7 linked regions of the Canis lupus familiaris genome follow. The protein of the gene in region 1 purifies or fractionates together with the protein of each later gene. This does not show direct contact. Links are inferred from orthologs where the notes say so. Each region holds a gene or a part of one and is shown in the gene's direction. Other genes may lie near its edges.

Region 1 (3,391 bases):
GGACCCTCGTGCCCTCTGCTGGCTCACATGATGGAGCCCTCCCGCCCCACTGTCACCCGTCCCCAGGCTGCATCCCCAGCAAAGGCCCCTGCAGCAGAGTTGACCACAGCCTGGATGCTTTCTGCCCCGGGGACTCCCGGGGGGCTTTATCCCTGTTCCCCGAGTCTGTCCTGTCTTGTGATTCTACAGGCTGGGCTCTGTTCCTCTACCAGGGACAATCAGGGCCATGCCCTGTGGTCACCCTGGCCGTGTGTCCCCAGATCTAGGGGATGGTGTCCCTGTCACCTGGTCCTCCTGCTCCTCATCTCTTGTGTTCACGGTGGGCTGAGATGTTTCCAGAAGGGAGTGGAGGATCCGCTCTGGGCCCTCTCACAAAGCCCTGTTCACGTGTTGGGCATCATCCTGGCATTTAGGGTAGCGCAAGGAACCGGTAGGCGCCCTCCCCTCGGCAGGGAGGTGACCAGTCCCCGGGAAGCACTGTGCAGTCACAGGGGCAGGGGCGAGGAGGCGGCAGGGCAGGATAGGTAGGCGGGAGGGGCCAGGCTCGGGAGAGGCGGGTAGAAGCGCGGAGGTGCTGGGCATAGAGAAGCCTCAGCTCACTCCGCAGGGCTGCTGAGGGGCGGTGGGGGCCGTGGGGCTGTGAGGACAGGGCCACTCCGTCCAAAGCCAGGTCCCAAATGGCCTGGGGGCCGAGGAAAGCAGGAGGGGTGGGGCCTGCGTGGCTGTGAGCTGGCGGTCAGGTGGCTCATGGTGCAGGCAGGGAGACCCGGGTGTTGGCACCTGCCTGGGTGACCTCGCCTGTCCCGTCCCGCCTACTTGCTGGACCCGCAGGCGGGCCTACATGGGGACGTTTCTGCGGCCCGTCTTGGGGGAAGCACCAGGACTGGCGTTGGTGACCTCGCCCGCGCGTCTGTGTTCCCAGGCATCGCTGTCTGCAACGTGCCGGCGGCGTCTGTCGAGGAGACCGCCGACTCCACCATGTGCCACATCCTCAACCTGTACCGCAGGACCACTTGGCTGCACCAGGCGCTGCGGGAAGGCACGCGGGTGCAGAGCGTGGAGCAGATCCGGGAAGTGGCTTCCGGCGCCGCCAGGATCCGCGGGGAGACCTTGGGCATCATAGGACTCGGTGAGTTAGCGGAAGCCCTGTGGCTGTGCTGCTGGGCGCCCCCCCCCCCCCCGCCCCGAGGCAGCGCAGGGCCGAGTCCTCTCTGCCCCGGGAACACCGGCTGTGGGTCACACAGGTGCTCACCAGTCACGTGCCTCTGCACAGTCGTGCCCGCCCACTCACACGCTGACCTGTGCTCCCTGTGCTGACACGCCTCCCCCACCCGTACCCTGTGGCACCCTGTGGCTGAGTGGACGTGGCCTTCAGGTGAGGGCCAGGTGGCCCTCAGCCCTGCTCCGGGGGGAGCTGCTCACCCGGCGCGCGGGCAGCTGTGAGTTCTGTTTCTCTGCCTTGTGTGTGGGCGCGTGTCGCTCCGAGCTCGGGCTCCATCCACCTGGGAGGCCCCGTGTGGACAGGACCCTGCCCCCTACTGGCCCCCGTGCCCTCCCCGCCCCTACCCCACCGGCTCTGCAACAGGAGAACCATAGGACACTTGGGGTGTTCTCGAGCCAGGCGCACACGTGCGTGAGTGCAAGGTGCCCACGAGGCACAGGCCTGTCTTCGGTACAGCTCCCGCCTTGCTGGAGGGGACGCACGGCCCCCCGGGGCGCTGTGCCCCTCCCCTGGGTGGGGGGGCACCTGACCTCAGCCGGCAGTGTCGTCAAGAGCCAGGAGGCCCCATTTCAGCGCGGCTGCGCCGGCGCCTTAGCCAGAGCCCCCGTCCAGTGCGTCCAGCGACTGCTCCCTTCAAGGTTGTGGCTACTTAGAGCGCGAGCAGCGGAGCTCAGAGGGAGAGAATCCCAGACTCCTCCCTGAGCGTGCTCTGTCGCGTGCGCCCCCCCAGGCGCCCTTCGGGGATGTTAAAGGTGCTTGGAGTTTGGGTTCCCACGTGCTGCGTGGCAGACGCTCCGTGCGGGATGTCGGGGGCAGCTGTTACCTGACCTCCCAACGCCGCCGGTTAGCAGTTTGGGTGGCATTGGCAGGACTGCTGTGCTCTGGCCTCACCTGGGGTCACTTGCAGGCGGGGCTGTGGCCTGGGGCCTGGTGGTCCCCTCTGGCGGACGCCCTCCGGTGCGCACGGCCCGCTCGGGCCGCCTCAGGTGCGTGGGACGTTCCAGCCACCCGGGGGCTGCAGGAGGGGTGGGGCCCTGAGAGTTGGGGCCGGGCAGGCTGGTCCTGCGTCCAGGTCAGTGCGTTCCTCCCGGGGGTGCTCTGAGCCCCTGTGGCCCCCTCCCTCCAAGGAGCGGGGCCCCTCGTCTGAAGTGGCAGCCCCACCCACGCACTCCCTGGGGAGCACCTCCAGCCCCCCGCCCGCTCCCTGAGTCCCGGCCCCACACGGCCACGCGGGTGTCCCTGCACTCGGCATCTGGATGCAGGCGCCCACGGGGCTGTGCCTTGCACGCCGAGCTAGGCCCACGGTGACGCGGTGTGTCGCCCTGCCAGGTCGCGTGGGGCAGGCGGTGGCGCTCCGGGCCAAGGCCTTCGGTTTCAACGTGCTCTTCTACGACCCCTACCTGTCGGATGGCACCGAGCGGGCGCTGGGGCTGCAGCGGGTGAGCACCCTGCAGGACCTGCTCTTCCACAGCGACTGCGTGACCCTGCACTGCGGGCTCAATGAGCACAACCACCACCTCATCAACGACTTCACCGTCAAGCAGGTGCGCGCCTGCCCCGCCTCCCCCGCCGTCCACAGCCCTGCCACACCCGCACCCCCAGGTCGGGGCAAGGGTCAGGGTAGGGTCACGGTAGGATCACGGCTAGGGTCAGGGTAGGGTCACAGCTAAGGTCAGTGTAGGATCACAGCTAGGGTCAGGGTAGGGTCACGGCTAGTATCAGGGTAGGTCACAGCTAAGGTCAGGGTAGGGTCACGGCTAAGGTCAGGGTAGGTCACGGCTAAGGTCAGGGTAGGGTCACGGCTAGGGTCATGGTGGGAGTTCTACACGTGCCACCGTTTCTTGACCCACGGCAAGTGCCTTTCCCTGCCCTGCGGGCTCCACCGCTGGGGGTCGTCTGCACTGAGGGGCCTGTTTCCTGAGTTCTGGGGGCTCCTGGCCCCACACACAGGGCACACGCCGCACCCGACGGGCTGGGTCCTGCAGTGAGCGTGCCCGTGCGGCGCTTCAGTGCCGTGTCTCCGGGGCAAAGACAGATGGCGGCTGGCAGCGTCACACCGTGGCTGTGAGGCGTGGCCCTGGGTCAGGCAGGAGCTGGAACTAGCAGTGGCCTCTCATGGGCTCCGGGGTCCCCGGCGGGGGTGTGTGTGTGCCCGCACGGGGTCTGCCC
Region 2 (2,466 bases), on another chromosome or scaffold:
CCTGCCCAGCAAAAGGGACTTGGCGGCCGAGCCCGGGAACATGTGGATGCGCTTGCCCTCCGACTCGGCAGGCATCCCCCCGGCAGGCGGGGAGGCCGAGCCACACGCCACAGCAGCTGGAAAAACAGTCGCCAGCCCCTGCAGCTCCACAGAGTCTTTGTCCCAGAGGTCTGTCACCTCCGTGAGGGATTCGGCAGATGTTGACTGTGTGCTGGACCTGTCTGTCAAGTCCAGCCTTTCGGGAGTTGAAAATCTGAACAGCTCTTATTTCTCTTCACAGGACGTGCTGAGAAGCAACCTGGTGCAGGTGAAGGTGGAGAAAGAGGCTTCCTGTGAGGAGAGCGAGGTTGGCACTAATGACTATGACATGGAACATAGCGCTGTGAAAGAGAGTGTGAGCACTAACGCCAGGGTACAGTATGAGCCGGCCCACCTGGCTCCGCTGAGGGAGGACTCGGTCTTGAGGGAGCTCGAGCGCGACGACAAAGCCAGCGACGACGAGATGATGACCCCGGACGCTGAGCGCGGCCCGGTGGAGGGCGGCATGGAGAGCAGCCTGCTGCCCTACGTGTCCAACATCCTGAGCCCGGCCGGCCAGATCTTCATGTGCCCGCTGTGCAACAAGGTCTTCCCCAGCCCACACATCCTGCAGATCCACCTGAGCACGCACTTCCGCGAGCAGGACGGGCTACGCAGCAAGCCGGCCGCCGACGTCAACGTGCCCACCTGCTCGCTGTGTGGCAAGACTTTCTCGTGCATGTACACGCTCAAGCGCCACGAGAGGACTCACTCGGGCGAGAAGCCCTACACGTGCACGCAGTGCGGCAAGAGCTTCCAGTACTCGCACAACCTGAGCCGCCACGCCGTGGTGCACACGCGCGAGAAGCCGCACGCCTGCAAGTGGTGCGAGCGCAGGTTCACGCAGTCCGGGGACCTGTACAGACACATCCGCAAGTTCCACTGTGAGTTGGTGAACTCCTTGTCTGTCAAAAGCGAAGCCCTGAGCTTGCCCACTGTCAGAGACTGGACCTTAGAAGATAGCTCTCAAGAACTCTGGAAATAATTTTATATATATATAAATAATATATATATATACATATATATACATAGATCTCTATCTAGTTGTGGTACGGTCTAAAAGCAGCCTTGTTTCCTGGAACTAAAACGTCGGGGTGTTAACTCGGTTTTGCACTTTAGAGTAGCATGAGACTCTCACTAATTTAGCATTCTGGTAAAAGAGACTTTCGAGCAAGTCGGAGACTAGAGAGGGCTTTTTCTTTCGAGGGGGTAGGGGAAGGAAGCCAATAAGAACCTTGGAAACAACTCGTCCTATCACAAGATGCTTTCACAGGGCTTAATTTTGTCGACACTGCATTGTCTTCTGAGCGCTCTCTCTCTCTCTCTCTCTCTCTCTCTCTTTTTCCACTTTGTTTTGGTTTTGTGTTTTTGTTTTGTTTTGGTTTTGTTTGGGTTTTTGTTTTTTCCTTTTCAGAGTAGAAATTCCCTCCAGTTTTCTTAGCCTCTTTATATGTCACAAATTGCATGAATCTTTTCTGGCTGTTGGAAACCTGAATGCTTTTAGACCCAAATGGAAAATTTCTGAAATGCTGGATTATCTATTTTTAAACAAGCAGTTGACTTAAAACTTTCTGTGGCAACTTCTGGTTTTCTGACGGTTCCCAATGAGAGAAATTCTGAAAGTACACTGGGATCACTGGGACGCTGTCTTTGTGAAGGTTTGCTTGGGATGAAAAAGGATATTGCAGCTTCAGCAGTGTTGAACTGTGTGTTGAAAAATGTGAATTACTGTTCTTGTATACTGTAACTGATTACACGGGCTGGGGGGGGTGTCAAAGAACTTGACAGGTTGTGTTGATGCTCTTAGTTGAGTCTTGAAAAGTAAATATTAACGCTACAGAAATGCATGAGTTTCAATATATTTTTTGTCTTTGTTTGCATTGTATAACTTTAACGAGTGAGTTTAAAATTATTTAATTTCCTTAGAAAAAAAATAGCACCGTTTGGGGAAAAAAACTGGTGTTATGAAGAACGTAAATGCACTGTTTTTATTTTTATTTTATATAATTTAAATTGACTTTCCCACTGTCCTTAAGTTGAAACTGTTAAGCTGAATAAAAACTTAAGCTGCAAATTGATAACTTCGCTACATAACAAGGAAAATATAAATGTTTACAAACGGCTTAAAGATTTGCATGTGCAGTGTGCATTTATAACAAACTTCTAATTGCACAAAACCCATGCCAGCTCAAAAGTTTAGGTGTACACATTTACCCAGTTGAGCATTTTTAGAGTAACTACTGCACAAATTGACAATAGGTCATTCTCTCTCTTTTTTTTTTTTTTTTTTTTGGGATTTTTTTTGGGGGCTCCCCTTCTCTTTTTCTTCCTTCTCCCTCACCCACCCACCCTCCCTCCCTCCCTCCCTCCCTCTCTCCCTCCCCTTCA
Region 3 (2,551 bases), on another chromosome or scaffold:
CTGCCGTATAACCTCACCCTCCGTAGTACTGTCCTTCAGTCTCCCCATCCTCTTCTTGGTCTTATGATGATCAGTTCAATATTATCAACTACTCTATTCCTACCCTCAAAAAAATTTTTGTCTTATTTTTCTTTATAGAATAAGATGAGATACCCTAAATTGCCTATGTTTATTTTCCTTGCAGACTCACACTGGATCCTTCTCTGTGCTGATAGCGAAGGCTTCATCCCATTAACTTTCACGGCCACTCAGGAAATAACCATCAGAGATGGCAGCACAAATGTCTTCACAGACTCTGTCTCAGAGTCTTAATCCTGCTCCTTCTCTTGAAGCCTTTAAAGACCTGACTGTCCAGAGTCCAGATGCCACTGGCTGACCTGCCCGTTGAAGCAGCACTGCCTGATACTTATTTGTGGAGTATTTGCTGCATACATAGCTTTTCAGATGAGGCCATTACAGACGAGGTCTCTTTTCCGCCAGGGACTCTCCTCAGCTGGGGTTGGCGCTGTCGCTCAGCGAGGAAGCACCTGCCACCGTTGGCTGTTTTTCCCTTTTCCCCACCCCGGGCTGAAGCTCACTGCTCTGGAGCAGAGCTCAGTCTTTGTTAGATGGCTCAAAAAGTGGTTGTTTATGTATTCGTGACTGTGTGATTTTGTCTAAGGGCAAAATTCCCAGAACAAAACAGTATTATGGTGCCATATGGATTGTGTTTTATGGTTTCTCTGAGGCTTTCTGTCCCTTGCCCAAAACTGTTAAAGCTGTCTTAGAAGCACTTAAAAGGTACTTCAGCATTGTTATAGATCATTTCCTTGGCTTAAAGATGATAATGAGAGGTACTGGAGAACATATGCTCCAACATATCCTCCTTACTCAAACCAGCAGGAATCAGCAGAGCTCAAAAGAAGACAAAAAAATTAAGTGGACTTCTGTCCCCAGAATAGGCAGTTGTTCTAATGTGGGCTGGACCTGCCAGGATCTAAACCTAACTCAACCAGCTTCCTTAAAAAATTCTGGCTAACCAAGGTCCAGATACTCCTAAAAAGTAGCCCCAGGCAAATTTCAGATGAACTATCAAGTGCTTTGACCCCTGTGGACCCTACTTGAGGATGTGCTTATGTTAACGGTACAACGCCAAGCTCTGGTGCGGTCTAGGGCATGATTACATGCTGTCACTACTCCTGATTTTCTCCCTAGAATGCCCGCCCCCCAGTTTTAGGATCATAAAAATGTCCTATTTTTGTCCAGTAGTTAGCTCCCTCAGTTAAGTTGTCACTTTAATTTTGATGTTCTCAAGTCTTAGAGACCAGCATAGTCTGTGAGAGAACATAGTTCAGAGAATTGGAAATTTCACTCAATCTGAGGTAAGTTAAAAGTACCAACTTATTATAATTATGGGCAAAAGTGCCGAGTTAGTAAAGTGGAAAGAGCCCTGATTGCAACTTCAGATAGACATGCCATTTCTCGAACAGAATCATATATTTCAGTGACGGCATCATGACAAATTGATGAGTGTGTGGCTACTCAGGGTACATCTGCAGATAAATTGTTTCAGCCATTGAGGTTCCATTAGCACATATGCATCTTTTTGCCCCCTTTCCTTGAAAATTATCTGGAAAAAAAACAACTCCATACCCTTGGGGACTCCTGTCTGTCTGTTACCATTTATGAAGATGAAGCTGGAATAGGAAAGAAGTGAGGGCACATTTTGTGGTTCAGATGCATTAGGCAGCTGCTGGGATAATGGAAGTGGAGGCCGTTGGTCTGTAATCAGGTGCTTGAGAGCAGTGGCCGAGGACAGTCTTGAGGCCTGGTTCTGTCTGCAAAGGAAGTGTCTGGGCGAGATGAAAGACTATTATAAAGCCTGAGGGGCCTGGGGACCAGGCAGTAAGATCAGTGCGGGTGCCTCAAGGTACAGGTAATAGCCACCATTTCCCTGGTCAGTCCTGTGAATGAGTCAATAAAATCACTAATGGTTGTTGTGGCCGTTGTGAATGTTCTGATGTTATTTTCTCTGTGATTATCGCTCGTATAAAGACAATTTCTTGATTTTATGTTTGTGTACGTTGTCTCTGTATTTCTTCTGGTGGACAGTCTGGCACATAAATTAGGTATTTCTTTACAACAAATGTGATTCCATGACAACTCTCATACAAAAGACATTTCCTTGGCCTCTGCTATTATTATAGTCATTGGAGCTATAGAAGATAATCCAGTATTTGCTGGCTTTGGAAACAAGGACAGAAGAGCTATAATCTTTTAAGTATTGTTTAATGTTCTGTTGAGAATATTTTGCATAAGGAAAGACGTTATTTACAAATCTCATTTGGTACCCAAATTTTTCTGAATTTTGTATGGGTATATTATTTGATGCACACAATACATATAAAGGCTTAATTTATTTATATTTATATATTTTTAAAATATTTTATTTATTCATGAGAGACATAGAGAGGCAGAGGGAGAAGCAGGCTCCATGCAGGGAGCTCGACGTGGGACTCGATCCCACGATTCCAGGATCACGCCCTAGGCCAAAGGCAGCCGCTCAACCACT
Region 4 (3,500 bases), on another chromosome or scaffold:
AATGGTGTAGTGGATTCAGAACTGGACAAATAACTGGACAAATAACTAGTCATTGACCGTGGCCCTAAATTGGCAGCTAACCCCCGATAGCTGTATAAGATTTATGTTCTAACCACAGGGGTTCTTCTCTGTGTTAGTGAGAGTCACGGTCTAGGAGAAATACATGTTTTTTTGTTCATTTGCAGGCCTGTTTCTTCTTCTTCATCTTCCTCACCTCAACGACTCTTCCTTCTTATTTCTTTAATTGCCAGTTGGATTACTAATAAAATGACATTCTGTTTATGAATGTGTTCTTTGTCACCATGGCTTATTAAATCAATTGTTCTCTTAACAGCCTGGAGAAACACATGTTGTCACATACAGAAGAGAGGGAATACAAGTGCGATCAGTGTCCCAAGGCATTTAACTGGAAGTCCAATTTAATTCGCCACCAGATGTCACATGACAGTGGAAAGCACTATGAATGTGAAAACTGTGCCAAGGTACAGTGAATTTGTAGACTACTTGGCCTCTCTCTGTCATCCTGCTCTCTCTTAATCCATCACTTGCTATGATATATAAAAACAAGCCTTGAGAGGGGAAACTATAAATATCTTGAGAAAAGTAGACTGAGTGTTGTATGCTAAAAGGCATTAGTACAGTGTATAAAAACACTTAGTGGGTATCCTTTTATTTTTGTAAGGGAGGAAGTGAGGCTTAATGGTGAGTTCCAGAACTAGGTGTCAGACATCCTTGGTAAATTCCTGGTTCCGCTACTGGCTTGCCAGTGTGGGGTTGTTTTATAGCCTTATGGAGAATGAAAATTTTATCCAACGCACATTTACTGATTTCTTTTAATAGCAATTTGTGAGGAAGTCACATAAAGTTTCTGAATGCCTATTCAGAAAGAATAGGAGACTCCTACATTTGCAGATTTTTCCACCCAAGGCCCCACCATAAATCATGACTTGGTTCTAATTAAAAACGTAGTGCCTTAGTGGCCACTGCTAAACAGCATAAGGGTGCAGCGAAAGCACTCCACCTTGACCACGACTCTACAATGTGAAAACAGTAGTTCATATCATGTAATTTTCATGGTTCTCAATTAACTAGAAGATGCCCTAATGTCATTAAAGTTGATTCCTATTTCCAAAACCTTTTCATAGCATTTGAAGAGCTTTCTTCATGACAGTGGAAATTGTGGTATTTGAAATTATCTTTAGAGATGTTTTGAAGTGTGGGTGACTTGTTCTTTTCCTTTCTTTCTTTTCTTCTTTCTTTCTTTCTTTCTTTCTTTCTTTCTTTCTTTCTTTCTTTCTTTCTTAATACAATGTTTAAAGGAATGGTTTTAGCTTCATTGTAATTTGCTGAAACACAGGGTGAACATTAACTCCTGAGGGGACTCCTTGAGTAGACGTAAGATACTTTAGTAAACTCCCCCCAGTTTTGTACATGGTGTGTCTTGGTTTAGAGGATGAAAATAGCACACCAGTTTTAATAATGTCTAGGCTGGCGTTTTATGATTCAACTCTAATTATTCCGAATGGGATCAAAAAGACCTTGAATGTGGTCTAATAGTGCCATAAATTATTTTGTTCGGCTGATACTGATGGACATTTCATGCTGAGGACCCAGAGCTGAATCATTTACGGTCCCTCCCTAGCCTAGAGAAGTGCACGCTTTGGAAAGATGACTTTTCTTTTGGTCTTGAGGGAGCAACAAATAAACAAAACCAAAACAAATAAACCAAATTCCTTCTTGAGTCATTCCTGGTCTTCTTTCTTGTGTCCTGGAATTAAGTTTCTTGATTAATCAGTACTCATTTCCTAGCAGGTTTTCACGGACCCTAGCAACCTTCAGCGGCACATCCGCTCTCAGCATGTTGGTGCCCGGGCCCACGCGTGCCCGGAGTGTGGCAAAACGTTTGCCACTTCGTCGGGCCTCAAACAACACAAGCACATCCACAGCAGTGTGAAGCCCTTTATCTGTAAGTTTTTAACACTCCAGCCCTCCTTCCTGCATCCTTCTCTCGTCCAAAAGGCATTGTGATGAGGAGTGTGGCCGCATGGCCGTAGAAGGGTCTGGGCATTAGCTATTTATGGTCCAATCCAGTAGGGCTATTTTCTGTTACAAGAAAATATTTTACACTCAGATCCATGGTATTTTGTCCATAATCCCCAGGGTGTTTTCTTTTAGATGCAATCAATAATGAGCAGAGAAAGGAGAAGTCATTAAATAATGGAAGGGAAGCCTCCCCAGGTTGTAGGATTTAATAGAGACAACCAGACTTGTCTCCCACTGGAAATGGTCATGGCTTTGTGAAACTGCAAATGGCAGATGCCACTAAATAAGATGAAGTGATAAAAACCTGTTCTGGGTCAGAAAGGACTGGGAGTGTACCCCACTTGGCAAGTGGGCTTATGTGCACGTGTGTGTGTGTGTGTGTGTGTGAGTGTGTGTGAGGAGAGGGGGGCAGATAAACTTGCCCTTAATCTACAGATTTTTACCAATCACAGGCTGCCAGTCGGTAGTCCTTGGGGACTTGAAAAGCAGAACATTTTCATTTTGATGCGGGACCTGCTGCTTCCATAGCTCCCTCCCTGCACTAGAGCAGATTTACAGGCAGTGCATGTTCAGAGGACACCCAGTCTGACCACCTACTTAGAACGTCCCTGTACAGAGCACTTCAGTAACCTACTCCACATAAAGGAAAACTCTGTCCATTTGCTTCTTCTGTCCACCAACTCCCGTCCCCTGTATCGTGCAGTTGTTTTCTCCATCTGGGCAACGACTCTGGACTTCTTTTGATCCATTGCTCAGCAGGGCATACAAACACAGTGACTCACTGAGTTGTGCTACCAACTTCAAGACTGATTTTGGATCCAAACACAGAAGTGATTGAAGCACACACCATGGTTGGCAAAACCTCTGATTTGGGAACCCTTACAAAACATTTTTTTTTTTTTGACGAATAATGCAATAGTTTGTAGTAGGCGTACGAGACACTACTACAGGACCTGATGGGCAAAAAATAATTTTGAGTGCCAGCATGGAGATGCCACAGATTAGCCTGCCTCCTTTTTACCTCCACACAGCCCTCTTTTGTGCTTCCGAGCACCAGGGGGGCTATTTTTTCCAGCTTACACTAGAGTCTTGTTTTGCTCTTATGTTCCTCTGTTCCCTGGGTGGAGTGAAGAGGACTAGCTGATAAACAAAAGGGTGCTCTGGTCTCCCTTGGGGAAGCTCTGTTGAAAGTCACGGGAAATAAAGCATACAATAGAAATTTTAGACTTCTTGTCTCATAAAAGCATTTCTGACTCTAGGTCGTAACGCCCCTAAAAAAATGTACTTGCAAAGGGTTACGGGCATAAATTACTCATTTATTTCTGATTTCTCAGAAACAGACCTTGATACATTTATTGTGTTTGGGTGGAAAAAAAATAGGCCAAACAAATTATGATCACCCTTTTAACGCTTTCTCTATTACTTAAACCAAAAGTCAGAAATTGTAGATTCCTATC
Region 5 (3,500 bases), on another chromosome or scaffold:
CCATGGGCCGTTCCACTAGAGCAGTGGGCCCCGCTCATCTGCCCTCTCTCCCTCCAGATTGGCAGGACGACCAGTCCGACAACCAGTCCGATTATTCAGTGGCCTCAGAGGAAGGTGATGAAGACTTTGATGAACGTTCAGAAGGTGAGAGCTATGCCTTTCTGCTGACTTTTTAAATATTGCTTTGTTTCACACCCCTACCAGCATCACTCACACATCCTTTTCTTCTTGCAGCTCCCCGCAGGCCCAGCCGTAAGGGCCTGCGGAATGATAAAGATAAGCCATTGCCTCCTCTGTTGGCTCGTGTTGGTGGAAATATCGAAGTAAGTGCCATTTGGTTCTAAGGTGGGGTGGGTGAGTGCTAGATACTTGGTCATCGATGGAGTAAGGCCTACTCCCTCTCACTTAGGCTCCTCCTTCCTCTAGGTACTTGGCTTTAATGCTCGCCAGCGAAAAGCCTTTCTTAATGCAATTATGCGGTATGGGATGCCACCTCAGGATGCTTTTACCACCCAGTGGCTTGTGAGAGATCTGCGAGGCAAATCAGAGAAAGAGTTCAAGTAAGTGGAGAGCTGGAATGACTGATGGTAGAGCAAAAACTTCTGATCTCTGGTGGTTCCATGGTACTAGTCAAGGCTGCACACGGAAACAGGCAGGTTCCTCTGTTGAAGTTGGTGGGTGTAACCACTAATAATAGGGTTCCTTGTGTTCCTAGTTTCCCTAGAGGAGAACCTGGGGCATGGTGTGGGTTCTGGAGAACTGGCCTTCAGTGTGATGGCAGCTTTATCTTAAGATGGAGCCAGAGTTGTTTGGTGGAAAGATCTCCTCTAGGAGTTGGCCTGATTGCTGTTGAACTCATTTTCTCACTTCTTTGCTACAGGGCTTACGTATCTCTTTTCATGCGACATTTATGTGAGCCAGGAGCAGATGGGGCTGAGACCTTTGCTGATGGTGTCCCCCGAGAAGGCTTGTCTCGCCAGCATGTCCTTACCAGGATTGGTGTCATGTCCTTGATTCGAAAGAAGGTGAGCCCTAAGCCTCTCTGCATTGTTCAGAGTTTCTACGGGAAACTAGAGGACAAACGGGAGAGGAGCCTAGAGCTGGAATTGGTCTTCACCTTCCTGTCCCATTGCTACAGGTTCAGGAGTTTGAACATGTCAATGGGCGTTGGAGCATGCCTGAGCTTGCTGAAGTAGAAGAAAATAAGAAAATGTCCCAGCCAGGGTCACCTTCTCCAAAGACTCCTACACCCTCCACTCCGGGGGACACACAACCCAATACCCCTGCACCTGCTCCACCTGCTGGTAAGTCTGTCTGTACTGTCTATCCTTTTCTGTTCTTCTTCTTTTTTTTTTTTTTGGTCCTTGCCAGTGTTTCTTCTGCTCCCTTGTATTGAGCTCTGACAGAGGAGTCTGGCAGGACACACAGCAATCTCCCTCTCAGTTTAGGAGAGCCGTCCTAAGAATAGGGCTGGCTCTTAAAGGCACGAGAGGACAATTTTAAGATAAGACCAACTGAGAAGGCATGACCTTCTCTCTGATCTAGAACTTTCTTCCTAATTAATTGCCTTCTATTGGTCTGCAGAGGATGGGATAAAAATAGAGGAGAATAGCCTCAAAGAAGAAGAGAGTGTAGAAGGAGAAAAGGAGGTTAAATCTACAGCTCCGGAGGCCACTGTTGAGGTAAGAGATGGGGGTGACCGGATGCCATACGGAAGATAAATGAAGAAGCCCATTCATCTTTTCAGTTGCTGGCCTGTCTGCCTCAACTTATGTACTTTTTCCTTTGAAGTGTACACAACCCCCTGCCCCTGCCTCAGAGGATGAAAAAGTCCTTGTTGAACCTCCTGAGGTTGAGGAGAAAGTAGAAAAGGCGGAGGTGAAGGAGAGAACAGAGGAACCAATGGAGACAGAGCCCAAAGGTATCCACATTTCCAAGTATTACATCCAGATCCCTGTGAAACTTAGGTACTTCTAGCTGGGCTAAGGAAAGGTCAGGAGGAAGTGACACCCTGGAGAATCCCCTACCCTTGATTTTATATTGAGGGTTTTTAATCCCTTAAGACATTTTTTATGATGTTAGTCATTGAGATTTGGGGTTAAGACTGTCCCCCAGTCTTAACTGGTGTGGGACAGAGGAGAATCTTCTTTATTTTTATTTTCTTATAAAGATTTTATTTTTAAGTAACCTGTACCCACCATGGGGCTCGAACTCACAACCCCGAGATCAAGAGTTGCATGCTCTAACGACAGCCAGCCAGGCACCCCAGAACGTTCTTTATATACTCTCAAATCCCATCTGTTCCCCCCAGGTGTTGCTGACGTGGAGAAGGTAGAAGAGAAGTCAGCAGTAGATCTGACCCCCATTGTGGTAGAGGACAAAGGTGAGTGTTTGGAGAAGCTGATCGTGACTAAAAAGGACTCTAAAACTAGATGCAAGGACTTTATCTCTGGTACACCCCCTGGCTTCTCACACCCATATAACTATTTAATCCCAAGCTAAAAGACTCCCAACTGTCCCTACATATGATTGTCACGGGCCAGTGACATTTTTCTGGGTTTGAGAAATACCTGTGTGGAGAAAGGGTGAAGGTGGCTGCATGCTTAGAGCATATAGTGCTGTGGGTAAGGACCAAGGTGCTATGCTTTTGTCTGGAGCTGACATTTTTTTTCTGCATATCCTGTAGAAGAGAAAAAAGAAGAAGAAGAGAAAAAAGAGGTGATGCTTCAGAATGGAGAGACCCCCAAGGACCTGAATGATGAGAAGCAGAAAAAAAATATCAAACAACGTTTCATGTTCAATATTGCAGATGGTGGTTTTACTGGTATGACATTGAGGGACCAACTGGGGTTAGAAGGATCTGAAGTGAAAGTAGGGTTCTTGTCAGAGGCCAGGATACAAAGATTTTACCTCTACCAGATAAGGGACTGCCAAGTTGATTGCACATTCCTCTGACTCTATGTTAGAAAGCCAGAGGCCTACTCCTAAGATGGCATCTGTGGGCCAGGAATAAATAGCTTTTTGAATTCTTACAGATATTTGCCTCTCTTGTTCTTCTCCACCTTCCCCAAATTCCTATTCAGAGTTGCACTCCCTTTGGCAGAATGAGGAGCGGGCAGCCACAGTCACTAAGAAGACTTACGAGATTTGGCATCGGCGGCACGACTACTGGCTGCTGGCTGGCATCATAAAGTATCCTTTGCTGGAGTCTGGGCTGAGGTTCTTGGTAAAGGGTTCTGAAGGTCCTACTGTTTGAAGTTTCTGCTTTCCTTGTTTTGTTTTTCCTGAGCAATTTTCCAATAGCCATGGCTATGCCCGGTGGCAGGACATCCAGAATGACCCACGCTATGCCATCCTCAATGAACCTTTCAAGGGTGAAATGAATCGTGGCAATTTCTTAGAGATCAAGAATAAGTTTCTAGCCCGAAGGTTCAAGGTGAGCAGGATAGGGAGGAATATAGTATTGAAGTGACAGCCTTTGAAATGCAGAAGGGACTGTA
Region 6 (4,160 bases), on another chromosome or scaffold:
CAAGTCCCACAAAGCTCTGAATAGTTCTTAACCAAAGAGAACTACAGTTCCCAGAAGGCCTTGAATTGGCCTCAGGTGCCCTGGAGCCAAACCACGGACCTCTACCAAATACTGCGCGTGAGATCTTACAGGGTTTTTTCCAAACTTTGACCAGAATATAATACCCAAAGGGATGGTACCCTAAATAATGCTATCAAGGTTTTTATCTCGGTGTAATATCATTCATACTTCCTCTGTCAACTGGGCTTATGACCCACGGAATGCCTAGGCTTGCGACCAAAAAAAGGCTCCTTAGTATAGTGTACTCAGCAGGCGGTGATGACTGTGGAGCCTCTGGGGGTTACTCAGGTCCCCGGTGCACTTGGTGCCTTAGCATACCCGGCTCAAACAGAAGGGACCCTGAGCCCCGGGTTCAGGAGAGGACGCTGCTCCTGCCGGTACGAAGCAGTCGAGAGCACCGGTGTCCTCCATGCGTTCCCGCTGCCCCCTTCCTGCTCGGGGGAGAAGCGAGGCCGACACTTGCTACCCGGAGACCCAGAAACTAGAGCGCACCGAGGCGGGAGAAGCAGACGCGGGCCTCCTCGGGAAGATAGCCGCCGCGAGCCGGGACGCTCAGACGCCGCTCTCGTTACCTACGGACAGGCGGGGCACGGAGGGGCCACCCCGGCCAGGCGTGCCTCGCCTTCGGCTCCCCGCGCAGCCGACGCCCGCAGCGGCGGGAACGCGCCCCCGAAGCCCCCAGCTTAGGGCAGCCGCTGCCACCGCCGAGGCCGCTCCCGGCGTGGGGGGAGATGGCCAGAAAGCGCGCCGTGGCTCCTTTAAGGCCCCTCCTCGCCCCCCCTCCCCGCCCACGTGACCCGGGGCGGCCGCGCGCCGGCTCGGCCCCCCGCGCAAGCGGCGATGGCGGCGGCGGCGGGAGCTGCAGCGGCGGCGGCCGCCGAGGTGCGGAAGGGGAGGGGGAGAGGCGGGTGCATGCCCGCGCGCGCGCCCGGGGGAAGCGCGCGCCCGTGCAATGCTCCGGGGGTGCAACGGGGCCGGGGGGCCCGGACGAGACCTACAGCAATCCGGAGGGCCAGCACCGGGGGCGGATGAGGGGACCAGGGGGTGGGAGGTGGGGGGAGTGGGCACGGAGGCGCGCGTGCAGCCGCCGGCTGCCCCCGAGTGGGCAGCGGGAGCCGGGGCCCCAGGAGCGCGCGCGAGGGGCACGAGGGGCCGTCCGCCGGGCTGGGGAGCGGCGGGCGCTGGAGGGGTTGGTGCCCGGGGTCCCCGCGGCCTGGGGGACAAAGGGGGAGCGGCGCGTGCAGCCGGGAGGAGGGGGCGGGGCCGGGGCGCAGAGGCCCCGCCCCCTCCCCCTCCTCTTTTCCAGGCCCCAGAGATGCGGGGTCTGCCGAGAGGGAGGGGGCTGATGCGGGCCCGGGGGAGGGGTCGTGCGGCCCCCCAGGGCAGCCGAGGCCGCGGACGGGGGGGCCCCCATCGAGGAAGAGGTAGGCCCCGGAGCCTACTCTCTCTTCCCAGAGCCCAGGCGTCCTGGGCTCCCCAACTTCCTAGCGGGCTGACCAGCCCTCCTATACCTTGTGTCCCCTGCCAGGGGGAGGCCCCTGCTGAGATGGGGGCGCTGGTGCTGGAGAAGGAGCCCAGAGGAGCCTCTGAGAGAGGTGAGTGCGGCTGAACAGGCCCAGCTGGACCTTCACCTCCCCCAACACAGGATTCCCCGAGACCTTAGCCCTGAACTTTTTCTTTCCCCTTACAGTTCACGGCTCTTTGGGGGACACCCCTCGTGGTGAGGAGACCCTGCCCAAGTCCAGCCCTGACTCCCTGGAGCCTGCTGGCCCCTCATCCCCAGCCTCTGTCACAGTCACCGTGGGTGATGAGGGGGCTGACACCCCCCTAGGAGCCACACCGCTCATTGGGGATGAACCTGAGAATCTGGAGGGAGATGGGGACCTCCACGGGAGCCGAATCCTGCTGGGTGAGAGGCTGGGGAGTCAGGGGCCTGGGGGGCAGAGGGGGGGTATCCTCTGATTACCTCTCGTCTTACCTTGTTTCTGTCTGCCTATTTGTCTTCCAGGCCATGCCACAAAGTCATTCCCCTCTTCCCCCAGCAAGGGGGGTGCCTGTCCCAGCCGCGCCAAGATGTCAATGACAGGCGCAGCAAAATCACCCCCCTCAGTCCAGAGTTTGGCTATGCGGCTGCTGAGTATGCCGGGAGCCCAGGGGGCAGCAGCGGGGCCTGAACCCCCTGCAGCCACACCCAGCCCAGAGGGGCAGCCCAAGGTCCACCGAGCCAGAAAAACCATGTCCAAACCAGGAAATGGGCAGGTGAGAATGAGGGGGAGGGGTGGAGGTGGGGAGACCCAGGTAACCCACTGTGTACCCCTTGTGGACTTTTTTTTTTTTTTTTTTTTTTTTTTTTTACAGTTTAGCTTCAGACTTTTTCTCATCCCTTCAGGGCTCGCCATACTTACCTAGGGGCTACTGTGTGTCAGATTCTGGGCTGGGCTTGATCTGAACAGACAGACAAGTTTATATTCTTGGGGAGAGGGGAGTTGTAAAAAAGGTTAGAGGGGCACTTGGGTGGTTCAGTGGTTTAAGCATCTGGCTCGGGTCATGATCCTGGATCTAGTCCCACATCAGGGAGCCTGCTTCTCTGCCTCTGTTGCTGCCTCTTTTTGTCTCTCAGGAATAAATAAGTAAAATCTTTAAAAATAAAAAAAGGTTAGAGGATTACTGTTGTAGTTAATTGTCCCAATTATTCTTATGATAATGACTAAGGAACTTCTAACTTGCTTTCTACCTCAAAGCAAGCCCCAAGGGAGCTTTTTCCCTCCCTTTGAAACTCCCCCTGCTTCCTTTTTCAAAGGGCTTCTAAGGATTTTACTGTGACTCCCTACAGGGAAGGAGGGTGAGGGAAAGGACAAAAAGCCCCAGAATTTCAGAAGCTTTGTGACAGTGTTTTTGGGGGTTTGGGTATGGTTTAGGTAGCTTTGGGCAAGGCACAAACCTATTTTCTCATCTGTAAAATGGGTAAAGAGGGCCCGCTCCTTCGGGTGAGTGAAAAGGTGAGTGTTAGGTGTGGAATGTGCCTCATACCCTTCTTCTCGAGAGACAGCACTTCTTGTGATTGCCACATTCTGGCTTACTGGAGCTTCAGGTGACATTTTTGAGGGTGTGGCTCACCCTTGACTGAATGCAAATGCTCCCTGACCCTAAAGTGTGCTCCCTCTCTGCCACTAGCCTCCTGTCCCAGAGAAGCGGCCCCCTGAAGTGCAGCATTTCCGCATGAGTGATGACTTGCACTCGCTGGGGAAGATGACCTCAGGTCAGCGCCACCCCCACACCCCACCCACCTGCCACCTGATAAATCTTGTCCGGAGGGTCGAAGAACCAGCCTTATTCCTTTCTCTCTCTCCTTCCAGATGTGGCCAAAAGGAGGAAGCTGAACTCTGGAGGTGGCCTGGTGAGCCTAGAGAGGCTGAAGACAAGGCCTCTCCACCTGGGGGGGGCTGCATCCTGCCCTCAAGGGAAATGGTTGGGAAGGGAAGTACCAGCAGCTTCCATTTTTCTGATCTTTTCCTAGTCGGAGGAGTTGGGTTCTGCACGGGGTTCAGGAGAAGTGACCATGGAGAAAGGGGACCCAGGGTCCCTGGAGGAGTGGGAGACAGTGGTGGGGGATGACTTCAGCCTCTACTACGACTCCTACTCTGTGGATGAGCGTGTGGACTCTGACAGCAAGGTGAGAAGGAGCCAGCCTACCTCTCTGCCAAGGCTCACTCTCCAGTCTTTCCCACCCACCCACCCCCTTTGTCTCTCTTTCCTTTTTACCTTGTGACACCCCCTAATTCACCTTCCCATCCTCTCTGTAACTTCCTCCCTTTGTGTGTTCCACCCCAGCCCGGCCCCTCGCCCCTCTCCATTGTGGTAACCACCATCCTGGACTTTGGGTTTAGCATCCCATTTTGGTTTTGGGTTTTTTTTTTGTTTTTAAGATTTAATTTATTTATTCGTGAGAGAGACACACAGAGAGGCAGAGACACAGGTAGAGGGAGAAGCAGGCTCCACGCAGGAGCCCAATGTGGACTCGATCCCAGATCTCCAGGATCATGCCCTGGGCCAAAGGTGGCGCTAAATCGCTGAGCTACCCCGGCTGCCCCCATTTTGTT
Region 7 (3,500 bases), on another chromosome or scaffold:
GCGGCCCACGGCGCGGCCCTCGGTGCGGCCCACGGCGCGGCCCTCGGTGCAGCCCACGGCGCGGTCCTCGGCGCGGATCCGGGCGCCCGGGAGCAGCCGGCGGGGACGGCGGCCGACGGCAGGCACCTGCCCGGCGCGGACTGTCAGGAGAAGCCCCTGAACCTGTCCCTCGGGGCTCTTCACGGCTGCCCGGCCATCTCTCTGAGCAAGAGTTTAATCCCAGGGATCACCTGCCCGTTTTGTACCTTCAAGACCTTTTATCCGGAGGTTCTGATGATGCACCAGAGACTGGAGCATAAGTACAACCCCGACATCCACAAAAACTGCCGGAGCAAGTCGGCGCTGCGCAGTCGGCGCACCGGCTGCCCGCCCGCGCTGCTGGGCAAGGACGTGGCCCCGCTGGCGCACTGCCCCCGGCCCCGGGCCCGGCCCGCCCCCGCGCCCGCGCCCGCCCCGCGCAGCCCGCCAAGGCCGCGCCCGCCGACCGCGACCGTGACCGCGACCGCGACCGCGGGAAGCCGGGCCCCGCCGCGCCCGCCAGGCCCCCGCCGCCGGGCCTCGACCCCAGCACTTTAGCGCCCAGCAACCTGAAGGCGCCGCGGCCCGGGGGGGCGCCGGGGGCCGCCCGGCCTGCAGAGCCCGTGCACGTGGAGCGCGGCCGCAGGCCCGACGCCAGGCCCCGGGCGCCCCCCGCCAGCGCCGCCGCCAACGGCTGCGCCGAGCGCCCCTGGGCCCCGCGGGGCCGCGACCCCCCGAGCGGCCGCCCCGCCGAGCCCGGGGAGCCCCTGGCCAAGCGGCCGCGGCCCGACGCCGAGCCGCCCGCGCCCGCCTTCCGCCGCGCGCTGGAGCTGCCCAAGTACCAGGTGGTGCGCGGCCTGCCCGCGCTGCTGCCCGCCGAGTGCGTGTGCCCGCCGCCCGCCGCACTGCCGCCCAAGGCCCGCGCCACACCCGCGCCGCTCTTCTGCGGGCCCGCGGCGGAAGGTGAGCCCGGGGCCGGGGCGGGGGCGTGCTGTGCGGGTTCCCTGCTCCCCGAGCCGGACCTCGGCTTCTGGTCCTCCTCCAAGTTTGGGGCGATCGGGTCCTCGCGGGCAGGTGTATCACCCGTGAGCCCCCAGGAGCAGGTGCGCCACCCGGTGAACCACCAGGGGCAGGTGCGCCACCCGGTGAGCCCCCAGGAGCAGGTGCACAAGCCAGTGAGCCCCCACGAGCCAGTGCACCACCCGGTGAGCCCCCAGGAGCAGGTGCGCCACCCGGTGAACCACCAGGGGCAGGTGCGCCACCCGGTGAGCCCCCATGGGCAGGTGCGCCACCCAGTGAGCTCCCAGGGGCAGGCGCTCTCCGCACACCAGGGACAGAAAGCCTACGAACCCCAGTGCATGGCTTCTGAATGGTTTTGATAACTAGGATTTTCGGCTCTTGCTGCCTTATTTAGCATTTGTTAAACGCCAAGTGCATCGTAAAAGGCACTCCTTTCCCCTAAATGGATAGATTGTTTAAGTCGTGGATTTACTTTGGAGTTCTCCCCATGGAAATGTTTTCAAAACCCCAGCTTCCTCCTGGCCGCGGTCCCTTAGGGGTGCATGGTGCGTACCTGTGCACATAAAGAGGTAGATCAGAGTGTCCTGGGGACCTGGCCCACTTGGCAAACTTGATTAAACCACTTCCTTTGTCAGATATAAGTCTTGCTGGTTTGTGCAGCCCCAAGGAGAAATCCATTTTAAGCCTCTCAGTTTGTATTAATTTCAAATTAAGGGTTCTGTGTGGTGACAATACTCTTATCAAGGATAGCTTGATGCCATTTGATCGGGTAGGGATAGCAAATTAAAAAACAATTGCTTTCACACACTCCAGTGAATTTCATAAAAATTGTGATGAAATATTAATTTTTGCAGCCTTTTGATTAAAGCAGCCTATTTTTCTCCCTACCAGCTCTTAAAACGGATAGGCGTCAAAACTTTGCCTTTAATTGAAGAGTCTGGGCTCTGTGTTAGAAGCAAAATCCTTTTTTACTTTTTAAAGATTTATTTTTAAGTAATCTACACCCAACATGGGGCTTGAACTCACAGCCCTGAGTTTGAGAATTGCTCATTCCACCAAATGAGCCAGCCAGGTGCCCCATAAAAATCCTTTTCTGAGAAAAGTATTTTTTCTCCTCTTCCCCACAGTTTTGGTTTATGGTGTATATAAGTTTAAAATATTTTATGCTACCATTTTTTGGGGCTTTTTTTTTTTCTGTGCCTAAACCCTGGATCTTAACTTTATAGTTCTTATTAGTGACAGCATAGTACTTAGATCTGTTTTAGCTTTAGTGACTTACAATTTTGTGCTAGCACATGTCCTCAGGGCACTTAAAAACATTTTACTTGTAACTTTGCAACATGAATGCAACTGGTGTGTTCTGATCACATTACCAGTCAGGAATTGTGAAAATTGAACCTCTGACAACCCATATACATCTTCCCAGTTGTTGGACTTAATTCTAAAGACCTTTCCACATTTTTTTCCCCAACAGGAAAAAGGCCTGTGTCGTATCAACACTTGTCTAGCAGCATGCTACAAAAGAGAAACTATGAGAATTTTATTGGGAATGCACATTATCGGCCAAATGACAAAAAAACTTGATTTACTATTTCGGGTAAGAAAGGTGAACGCATATATGATGTATTGATTTTATCTGATTGAAAACAAACCATCTGGCTTATCCAGTAGGATATAAAGTAAAATTACTTTTAATTTTATTTATTTTCAAGATTTGTTTAATTATTTTGGAGAGTGAGAGCGCAGTGGGGGGAGGGGCAGAGGGAGAGGGAGAAAGACTCTCGGCAGAGCCCTGAGATATGACCTGAGCCAAATCCAGGAGTTGGAATGCTTAATGGTGCCACCCAGGTGCACCTAATTTTAATTTTAAAGTGTTTTATTTAAAATTTTTTATTTTTTAAAACATTTTATTTATTTGAGAGAGGGAGAGAGAGAGACAGCAAGAGTAGGGGCAGCAGGAGAGGGAGAAGCAGACTCCCCGCTGACCAGGGAGCCCAATGTGGGGCTCGATCCTGGGACCCTGAGATCGTGACCTGAGCTGAAAGCAGACACTTAACCCACTGAGCCACCCAGGCACCCCAGGTTTGAAGTGTTTTAAAACTTTGAGTGCTCAGGGTCTGTATCAGTGATGATGATTATATTAATAATAGTAATAGAGACTGGAATTTACTAAGCATTTATTTTATGCTCAGTCTTGAAGTATTTTATAATCATGACCTCACTTAATCCTTTCCACGGCAGGGGGCATCAGGCCAGGGATTAGCAAACTGCCCTCCACCTGTTTCTGTCTATAAAGTTTTAACTGGCTGTCAGCCATGTCCATTCCTTTATGTATTGTTGATGGCTGCTTCTGTGCCACATTAGCAGAGCTCTGGGTAGTTGTGACAGGGAGCACACGGCCTGCAAAGCTGAAAATATTTACACTCTGGCCCCTTGGAGAAAATGTTTGCTGACCTCTGGGT

The links.
Region 2: the proteins of CTBP1 (region 1) and ZBTB18 purify together in Homo sapiens (affinity purification with mass spectrometry; 3 studies listed by BioGRID and IntAct, counting the BioPlex papers as one, with this or other methods). This does not show direct contact. The link is inferred for Canis lupus familiaris from reciprocal best matches to the Homo sapiens genes CTBP1 and ZBTB18.
Region 3: the proteins of CTBP1 (region 1) and WDCP purify together in Homo sapiens (affinity purification with mass spectrometry; 3 studies listed by BioGRID and IntAct, counting the BioPlex papers as one, with this or other methods). This does not show direct contact. The link is inferred for Canis lupus familiaris from reciprocal best matches to the Homo sapiens genes CTBP1 and WDCP.
Region 4: the proteins of CTBP1 (region 1) and MECOM purify together in Homo sapiens (affinity purification with mass spectrometry; 6 studies listed by BioGRID and IntAct, counting the BioPlex papers as one, with this or other methods). This does not show direct contact. The link is inferred for Canis lupus familiaris from reciprocal best matches to the Homo sapiens genes CTBP1 and MECOM.
Region 5: the proteins of CTBP1 (region 1) and CHD4 purify together in Homo sapiens (affinity purification with mass spectrometry; 3 studies listed by BioGRID and IntAct, with this or other methods). This does not show direct contact. The link is inferred for Canis lupus familiaris from reciprocal best matches to the Homo sapiens genes CTBP1 and CHD4.
Region 6: the proteins of CTBP1 (region 1) and EHMT2 purify together in Homo sapiens (affinity purification with mass spectrometry; 4 studies listed by BioGRID and IntAct, counting the BioPlex papers as one, with this or other methods). This does not show direct contact. The link is inferred for Canis lupus familiaris from reciprocal best matches to the Homo sapiens genes CTBP1 and EHMT2.
Region 7: the proteins of CTBP1 (region 1) and ZNF217 purify together in Homo sapiens (affinity purification with mass spectrometry; 10 studies listed by BioGRID and IntAct, counting the BioPlex papers as one, with this or other methods). This does not show direct contact. The link is inferred for Canis lupus familiaris from reciprocal best matches to the Homo sapiens genes CTBP1 and ZNF217.

What each region holds. Positions count from the first base shown.
Region 1 is NC_049224.1:92,002,343-92,005,733, forward strand, and holds part of CTBP1 (C-terminal-binding protein 1), read left to right. Parts: intron 1-922; coding exon 923-1,129; intron 1,130-2,551; coding exon 2,552-2,766; intron 2,767-3,391. UniProt on the Homo sapiens protein: Corepressor targeting diverse transcription regulators such as GLIS2 or BCL6. Has dehydrogenase activity. Involved in controlling the equilibrium between tubular and stacked structures in the Golgi complex.
Region 2 is NC_049228.1:35,073,739-35,076,204, forward strand, and holds the end of ZBTB18 (zinc finger and BTB domain-containing protein 18), read left to right. Parts: coding exon 1-1,063; 3' UTR 1,064-1,966; downstream 1,967-2,466.
Region 3 is NC_049238.1:18,573,364-18,575,914, reverse strand, and holds the end of WDCP (WD repeat and coiled-coil-containing protein), read left to right. Parts: intron 1-184; coding exon 185-312; 3' UTR 313-2,051; downstream 2,052-2,551.
Region 4 is NC_049255.1:34,038,822-34,042,321, reverse strand, and holds part of MECOM (histone-lysine N-methyltransferase MECOM), read left to right. Parts: intron 1-334; coding exon 335-482; intron 483-1,809; coding exon 1,810-1,966; intron 1,967-3,500.
Region 5 is NC_049248.1:7,660,347-7,663,846, reverse strand, and holds part of CHD4 (chromodomain-helicase-DNA-binding protein 4), read left to right. Parts: coding exon 1-144; intron 145-234; coding exon 235-323; intron 324-426; coding exon 427-560; intron 561-880; coding exon 881-1,025; intron 1,026-1,138; coding exon 1,139-1,304; intron 1,305-1,358; exon of another isoform or gene 1,359-1,498; intron 1,499-1,584; coding exon 1,585-1,682; intron 1,683-1,791; coding exon 1,792-1,921; intron 1,922-2,311; coding exon 2,312-2,383; intron 2,384-2,686; coding exon 2,687-2,824; intron 2,825-3,083; coding exon 3,084-3,192; intron 3,193-3,303; coding exon 3,304-3,436; intron 3,437-3,500. UniProt on the Homo sapiens protein: ATP-dependent chromatin-remodeling factor that binds and distorts nucleosomal DNA. Acts as a component of the histone deacetylase NuRD complex which participates in the remodeling of chromatin.
Region 6 is NC_049233.1:1,484,577-1,488,736, reverse strand, and holds the start of EHMT2 (histone-lysine N-methyltransferase EHMT2), read left to right. Parts: upstream 1-1,360; 5' UTR 1,361-1,375; coding exon 1,376-1,655; intron 1,656-1,750; coding exon 1,751-1,969; intron 1,970-2,068; coding exon 2,069-2,319; intron 2,320-3,234; coding exon 3,235-3,319; intron 3,320-3,416; coding exon 3,417-3,457; intron 3,458-3,577; coding exon 3,578-3,733; intron 3,734-4,160. UniProt on the Homo sapiens protein: Histone methyltransferase that specifically mono- and dimethylates 'Lys-9' of histone H3 (H3K9me1 and H3K9me2, respectively) in euchromatin.
Region 7 is NC_049245.1:40,079,178-40,082,677, reverse strand, and holds part of ZNF217 (zinc finger protein 217), read left to right. Parts: intron 1-52; coding exon 53-423; intron 424-461; coding exon 462-981; intron 982-2,512; coding exon 2,513-2,622; 3' UTR 2,623-2,635; intron 2,636-3,500.